2 linked regions of the Nothobranchius furzeri genome follow. The protein of the gene in region 1 purifies or fractionates together with the protein of each later gene. This does not show direct contact. Links are inferred from orthologs where the notes say so. Each region holds a gene or a part of one and is shown in the gene's direction. Other genes may lie near its edges.

Evidence for each region. Proteins that work in one complex are often made in the same cells at the same time.
Region 2: the proteins of rc3h1b (region 1) and cnot1 purify together in Homo sapiens (affinity purification with mass spectrometry; 5 studies listed by BioGRID, with this or other methods). This does not show direct contact. The link is inferred for Nothobranchius furzeri from reciprocal best matches to the Homo sapiens genes RC3H1 and CNOT1.

Annotation. Positions count from the first base shown.
Region 1 is NC_091751.1:54,522,566-54,526,293, forward strand, and holds the start of rc3h1b (roquin-1), read left to right. Parts: upstream 1-785; 5' UTR 786-943; intron 944-2,036; 5' UTR 2,037-2,218; coding exon 2,219-2,449; intron 2,450-3,728. UniProt on the Homo sapiens protein: Post-transcriptional repressor of mRNAs containing a conserved stem loop motif, called constitutive decay element (CDE), which is often located in the 3'-UTR, as in HMGXB3, ICOS, IER3, NFKBID, NFKBIZ, PPP1R10, TNF, TNFRSF4 and in many more mRNAs.
Region 2 is NC_091744.1:81,584,683-81,588,334, forward strand, and holds part of cnot1 (CCR4-NOT transcription complex subunit 1), read left to right. Parts: intron 1-171; coding exon 172-322; intron 323-419; coding exon 420-630; intron 631-864; coding exon 865-1,005; intron 1,006-1,525; coding exon 1,526-1,650; intron 1,651-1,726; coding exon 1,727-2,013; intron 2,014-2,090; coding exon 2,091-2,168; coding exon of another isoform or gene 2,169-2,169; intron 2,170-2,270; coding exon 2,271-2,523; intron 2,524-2,616; coding exon 2,617-2,757; intron 2,758-2,829; coding exon 2,830-3,009; intron 3,010-3,173; coding exon 3,174-3,290; intron 3,291-3,386; coding exon 3,387-3,497; intron 3,498-3,637; coding exon 3,638-3,652.

The DNA of each region.
Region 1 (3,728 bases):
TTGCTGTCGTTTTCACCAGACTTAAGAGATCGTTTGGTTTTGGCTGTGCATGCGGCTTATCGCCGATAGGGGGCGTTCAACGAACGCAGGTAAACGTGTGCTCGCCATGGTGCTCGCACACGCGCAGCCCTGAACGGTGTCGTGCTGAAAAAGAAAACCCTCGTCGCAGGACAAAATTTTCAAGGCACATGTTTTCTTCCTTACAGCAAATCATGGATGTAATTTTGGGGGAGGACAGGGGGGACATGTCCCCCCCACTTTTTCCAAAGCCAAGTTTTGACCCCTGCACTTTTTACCATCCAAAAGCAATATTACATTATATTAAATTGACACTGGTTGAGCTCTAGGACCAAGTAGAAACGTTTGTGTTGAAGCCTGTTTCCCATTAGAACATACTGTAAAGATCCCCCCCCCCCCCCGTGTCCCCCCCACATCTAAAGTGAAAATTACGTCCATGCAGCAAATTAAAAAGAAAAAAACGTAAAAAAAACATATTTCACACGTACACAAGTTGCAAACCTTATAAATATAGTAAATATTTAACGCAGTGATGATACCAAACAGAGTGGATAGTGGGTCCAACGCTGGCAGCCTATCCCTACTGAATGGTGATATTCGCTTTTCCTTTGTTTCTGAGGGTCCATTCTTATAAATAACAACGATTGCATAATAAGTTAAATGAAAATTTCAGTCCTGTTCATTTGCTTTCATTTTTATCTATTTTATGTGCGAATAAAGCCATCTAGAAATTCGCTTCGCGTAACTGGTTCCTTTTTACGGAAGGGTTGCATTTTTTGTCACAACACCAACCTTCAAGCTAGTCTGTCTTCGAATTGACAACCCCCTCCCCTAAGAGCAGCGAAGCTGCGCAGTCGACATGGCAGGAAAATATCGCAACAGTTTTGTAAAGAAAGATGAGATACTTCCAATTCATTTGGAATAAGTGAGTATTATCGACAAAATGTCGTCGGTATCATATCGGAAACTGATAGAAGCGCTGCATGATTAGTTAAAGTCACACGGACGCATAGCGATGGTTATTTGCTGTTAACATGGAGGAGCAACATTTGTTCATTAGCCAGCTAGCTGTCTCACTAGAAAAGCGTTCGAGTCAGCCGCTTTGGCCAAGACTATTTCTGTAGTTACCAAGTGTCGCCATTTAGTTAGTGGATCTTGTTAATATACATTTTTGGTAATATATCTACTTGTTAGTTTGAGATACTAGCGTTACATAATTATACAAGTCGAATGTTTTATTCGGTCTCTACTAGGTATCATTTCCTTGTATATTTATACACGAGTGGCAGCTGATGTTTTTGATATTGTAATAGCTGCACATGTGTGATTAGCGTTAGAAAAACTACTACATAATAGCGAAGAAACATCTGGTTCGAGATTGTTGTGAAGCGAATGTTTTTCATCCAACTACGTTTTGTTAGCTACGATTGTCAGCTAGCCACCCATAGCTTAGATTGCTAAAGTGAGCTAACGCATCGCCTAATATTACTATTTATATTGTCTTAAGTGGATCATTGTAGCACTTTATGCAAAGTTAACAATATATTCTGTTTATATTCAACTAAGTTTTCTCGAAGTAGAGTGTATCTTAACTATGTTAGCTTCATTGCGTTTGATAGCAGTGACTTGTAAGTTAGCTTCTTTCTGTACCCTTTGTCCAGAGAGGCTACAAGCTTCTTTAAGTAGGCCACACAGCTGTTGTTGTCGTTTGTTCAGTAGGCCTTGTTTTTAAATCATATTGTGTTTATTTACTGATATTTTAGTTGTTATTGCGAGTGTAAAATGGAAATTGCAGAAAAGAAGTCGACACAAAAGCATTAGCTGTCGACTTTGCCACCCTCTAGGTTAGAGCATTTTTGCTAGATGCATATATAGCCATCATGGTAATATTTTGATGGTTCATGTCGGCACATACAAAGATTACTAACGATTGTAAAGAAGCATTTGGCTCTTATTCAAAACAAGTTATTTCAAGAAATGTTTTTACAACTTTGATTCATTTTTTTCTTCTTTTACAGTATTCATCACGAGATGTGATCCAACATCCACAATGTGTGAGGACATTTAAGAACAATTAAGTTCGGAAAACAATCTCGATTCCAGTGGAATCTTCCATACATCTATATCTATATATAATTATTATATTTTTCTTTGTGTTAACTCCTAAATATACACGCACCCAACCCACCAACATATAATCATGCCAGTGCAAGCGCCACAATGGACAGAGTTTCTGCTGTGCCCAATCTGCACGCAGACGTTTGAGGAGACTGTTCGCCGGCCCATCAGTTTGGGCTGTGGACATACTGTCTGCAAGATGTGCCTGAACAAGTTGCACCGTAAGGCCTGTCCTTTTGACCAGACGGCCATCAGCACTGACATTGAGCAGTTACCTGTCAACACAGCCCTGTTGCAGCTGGTGGGAGGCCAGGTAAGACCAGAGTTCGTGTGTATTTGACATTTAATTACCATACAAGTGTAGTGATAGAAGCTTAGATAACCTGTGCACAGATCAGGTTATTTCCTTGTTATGTTTTGTTGTTTCCTTTTTGAGGTGCTTGTCATTTGTAGTCTGGTGCATGAGCTTTTTATATGGCTTTATGAGTTGCACGAGAGTTATTAAGCGGCTGCTTGAAATTAGTTTTACCGAGTGCTTCCTTCATAAGTAACTGTATTTCTTTTAGGTAATATTTGACCTGCAGGGCGAGTCCCAGTTGATGTTATTACCACAGTTTCCAGGTTTAGACTTAGTAGTAATGGAAAAGATCAGTGCATTGGCAATGAAGCTGAACCGTTCAATCGTTAGTAACGTAATGTTTTAACATGTTTTTACCTCCTTGATGAAAATAATATGCCAGGGGAGAAATCTTAAAATAATACCACTTTTTTTTAACTTTTTGTTTATGTCAAAATGTATGCTTTAAATTTAAGTCATTTTTATTATTTTAATTATTAGGTAGTTGTATTATCATCACTGTTCAGGAACACTGCAAGTTATAACTAAACCAATATCCAGGAAGTACCAGCAGTTGAGCAGATGCTGCTGCAGAAGTAAATGTTGGAAGATTTGGGAGACAGAAGACTCTGCGTGGTGGTTGTACTTTTAGTCCGAAAGTTTAGACATGGCTTCCTCAAAAGTGCTGGTCCTGTGGAGATAGGATTAACAGCACACCTTGTGTGCTTTGTCAGATTTCTCAATCCTGCGAGCATTCATTTCACCCAGAGGGAAACTCACAGCATGTGATCCTTTTGCACCAAGGGCAACAGAGCATCCTTCTGCACCCTGTGCCTGAAGGCCTTTAGTTAATAGTTATTTAGTGCATCATCAGCACTGATATAAGGAATGCATTCATGAGTCTAAGTCGGAGATGATGCCCACCAGCTTGTATGGTTGCTAATTAATAATCCACACTCTGCCAACATGGTGGACTGTGTTTAATAATAAACACCTCTCTGCATGAGGCATTCCCTCTTTTTTCTAATCCTGTGGAATATTGTTAATTTAAAAAAGCAAATCCTCTATTGTTTTAACAGCTATATGTGTGTATATAAGAAGTAAACAAGTGTTAAAGTATACTACATTTAGACCAATGGAAAACCATTTTTGTTTTTGAACAAAAAATTGTAATTTAGCATAAAATTGTGTTTGCATAACACTTCAAATACATTTTAAGTTTTATTATGATTAATGATGAGAAACTGCTCATTTA
Region 2 (3,652 bases), on another chromosome or scaffold:
CATACATCATAGCTCTGTCTGTGAGGATTTTAATACGGTGATTGATTACGTAATTCTCTTATTTGAAAACCCTTTTTTTTAAATCCACTATTTGAAATGTTTTCTAATGGGAACTCTTGCACAATAACCGTTTATGTCTACCTTTATAAAAATATTGTTCTCTGTGTGTAGGAGTGTTTCCCAGGAGTTGTCCGAGGCGATCCTTACCATGGCTGCCAACTGTAACAACGCCATGAACAAAGCTCGGCAGCCGCCACCGGGGGTTATGCCCAAAGGACGCGCCCCCAGCACCAGCAGCTTGGATGCCATCTCACCTGTGCAGGTGAACCAAATGATTCCTTGACATAGCTAATCTGTATTTTGAATCTGGAACATCTCTCTTGCTCTTGTTTAACCATTTTCTTCATGCTGTTCCTCAGATGGACCACCTGACTGCGATTGGTTCCTTGAGCCTGGCAGGAACAGCTACGTCCCACTCTCAGAGCATGCAGAGCTTCCAGCCTTCCATAAGTTCAACTCTCAATAACCCTCTGTCCCCTGCTAAAGCCTTCCCACCGCTCCCTAACCCTAATCCCAGCACGCAGTTTGGCGGAATCAGTTCCAGCTTGCAGCTCACAGGAATGGACTCTGGTACTATGATTTATTCCTTCCTTTTACACAAACGCGTCCATGCTAACCCTAGAAGTCTCAACTCCACTGACGCTGTTTAAGTAAACATGAGAAGAATTATTTGACATAACTTATAAGCTGACATAAATGTTAGATTGTTGGATGCATACAGTAACGAGGAACATTCACATCTGAGCAGGGTCACAGGTCATAGGCTGAGCTGGGGTAAACTGAAACCTTTTGTCTTCATTGCAGGTTCTTTGGGCTCAGGTATTAGTTCTAGCAGTGGCTTTAGTCTGGGAATGCCCACAGTGAGCACGGATCCATTCGGCACCAGGAAGATCGGCACATCGGCCTTGAACCCACAAACCTTTCAGCAGAGTAAGATGAAGGCCTGTAAGTGGTGGTGGTGGAGGTGTGACTGAGAGCCCCGCCCTGCGCCGCTCTGCACTGTATTTCCTCTACAATATTACTGAAGATTCCTACATTTAACTATTCGTGATTCACCATAAAAATTCAAAATCAACATACTTTAATTCAGTATCTGTGACAAAATTTTGTCCATTTCTATCAAACACTTGAAGAGGAAATACAGACCAGTCTGCTTATGCTGACGACCCCACTTCAGTGTGTTTATTCTGGTTTTCTGGCATCAAAAAGGTTTACAGGAGTTTCTGTTTAGACTGAAAATTCAACAGTTTAAGTGGCAGTTTCTTCCTTTTTATTAAAAATTAAACCATTTCAATTTTGTCAGTCTGATATTTCTAAAGGGTCTTTAATAAACTACATTAAATTAAAAATAGCATTTTCATGAAAATTATACAAAACCAAATCAGCTTGAGTGATGTCCATTATGAATGTTTATGTTCATCCGTTGTTGTGAGCACATCCTAAAACTGTGCCTTCTCTCCTCCAGCGGATCTCTCTCAGGTGTGGCCTGAGGCAAACCAGCACTTTAGCAAGGAGATAGACGACGAAGCAAACAGTTACTTCCAGCGGATCTACAACCACCCACCTCACCCAACTATGTCTGTAGATGAAGTAAGTTTGCTGCTGAGTTTAAGCCCGGTCTCAGGTGGACAAGATCTAAAATCCTCACGACTTCCCTGATGTTCAGGTGCTGGAGATGCTTCAGAGGTTCAAAGACTCAACCATCAAACGGGAGCGAGAAGTGTTCAACTGTATGCTTCGTAACTTGTTTGAGGAGTACAGGTTCTTCCCCCAGTACCCTGACAAGGAGCTGCACATCACCGCCTGCCTCTTTGGGGGCATCATTGAGAAGGGTCTGGTCACCTACATGGCTCTGGGCCTGGCTCTGCGATATGTTCTGGAAGCCTTACGGAAACCATATGGGTCAAAAATGTATTACTTTGGGATTGCTGCCCTTGATAGGTTCAAAAACAGGTAGTGAGAGCTTTCTTTAGTTAAATTAGCATTAATATGATTTATCCGGTCTTAAGCTGATGTGTTTGTTTTTCTAGACTTAAGGACTATCCTCAATATTGTCAACACCTGGCTTCAATAGCTCACTTCCTGCAATTCCCTCACCATTTACAGGAGGTAATCGAGTTTGCTTAATCCTTCGTCTGTTTAAAACATTATTTGGTGTGATTTTACAGAATGTGCCCCATTTATAAAGTTTTGTTTTTTTGGAATGTTTTGTGCGTGCAGTATATCGAGTATGGCCAACAGTCACGGGACCCTCCGGTGAAGATGCAGGGTTCCATCACCACACCAGGAAGCCTGGCGCTGGCGCAAGTTCAGGCCCAGGTCCAACAACCTACTGGCCTCAAACCGCCTCAGCTTGGACAGCCCAGCACCCTCGTCGTCACCACCACCACCACCACAACCACGGCAGCCAAGACGACAACTATCACAAGACCCACTCCCAGCAGCTTCAAGAAGGACATGCCTGTAGGCTTGACTTTGTGTTGGACTGAAACCTCCACATGAGTTTTATTTCTGCTCGTTAACGGTTTGTCTGCTGCTCATTTCCCACACTTGTAGCCCTCCATAAACACTACCAACATCGACACCCTGCTGGTGGCCACTGACCAAACAGAAAGGATTGTAGAACCTCCAGAGAACGTCCAGGAGAAGATTGCGTTCATCTTTAACAACCTGTCTCAGTCCAACATGACACAGAAGGTAAGGGAAAACATTATTGTATTAGACGAGTTTAAACACCAAAACCCTAAATAACCATTGATGTTTTCAAAGGTCGAGGAGCTGAAGGAGACTGTGAAAGAAGAGTTCATGCCATGGGTGTCTCAGTACCTGGTGATGAAGCGCGTCAGCATTGAGCCCAACTTCCACAGCCTCTACTCCAACTTTCTGGACACTTTGAAGAACCCAGAGTTTGTCAAGATGGTTCTCAATGAAACTTACAGAAACATTAAGGTAATGAACGAGAAACAAACTTTTAAGGCATCCTTTTATCTCATTTTGGTTTGTACTTTGTTTTTTTTTACTGTTTTAACAGACAGTTCTGTGAAAATGATGATGGTATGTATGTATAGGGCATCCAGGTATGAGCAGACATTTATAACGTGTGTCCCTGACAGGTGCTTCTGACGTCAGACAAGGCAGCTGCTAACTTCTCTGATCGCTCGTTGCTGAAGAACCTGGGTCACTGGTTGGGCATGATCACGCTGGCCAAAAACAAGCCGATCCTTTATACAGTAAGAATAGGCTTTAAGCTTGTTGGTCATCATGTAAAATGGTGTGTGTGTGTTTTTTGGGGGGGTCTATAATTATACTAAACACGTACTTCTCAGGATCTGGAGCTCAAATCCCTGCTCCTGGAGGCCTACGTGAAAGGCCAGCAGGAGCTGCTGTATGTTGTTCCGTTTGTGGCCAAAGTCTTGGAGTCCAGTCTACGTAGCATGGTGAGAAACCGACACCGGGTCCTGCTTGTAGGCTGAACACAGATGATTCATTCATTCCTACTAAAGACCACTGCAAATGTATTGATTTAACGAGTGTCCCGCACCTTTAACCTCCTGTTTGTGCTTCTGTGACGCTGCAGGTTTTCAGACCTCAG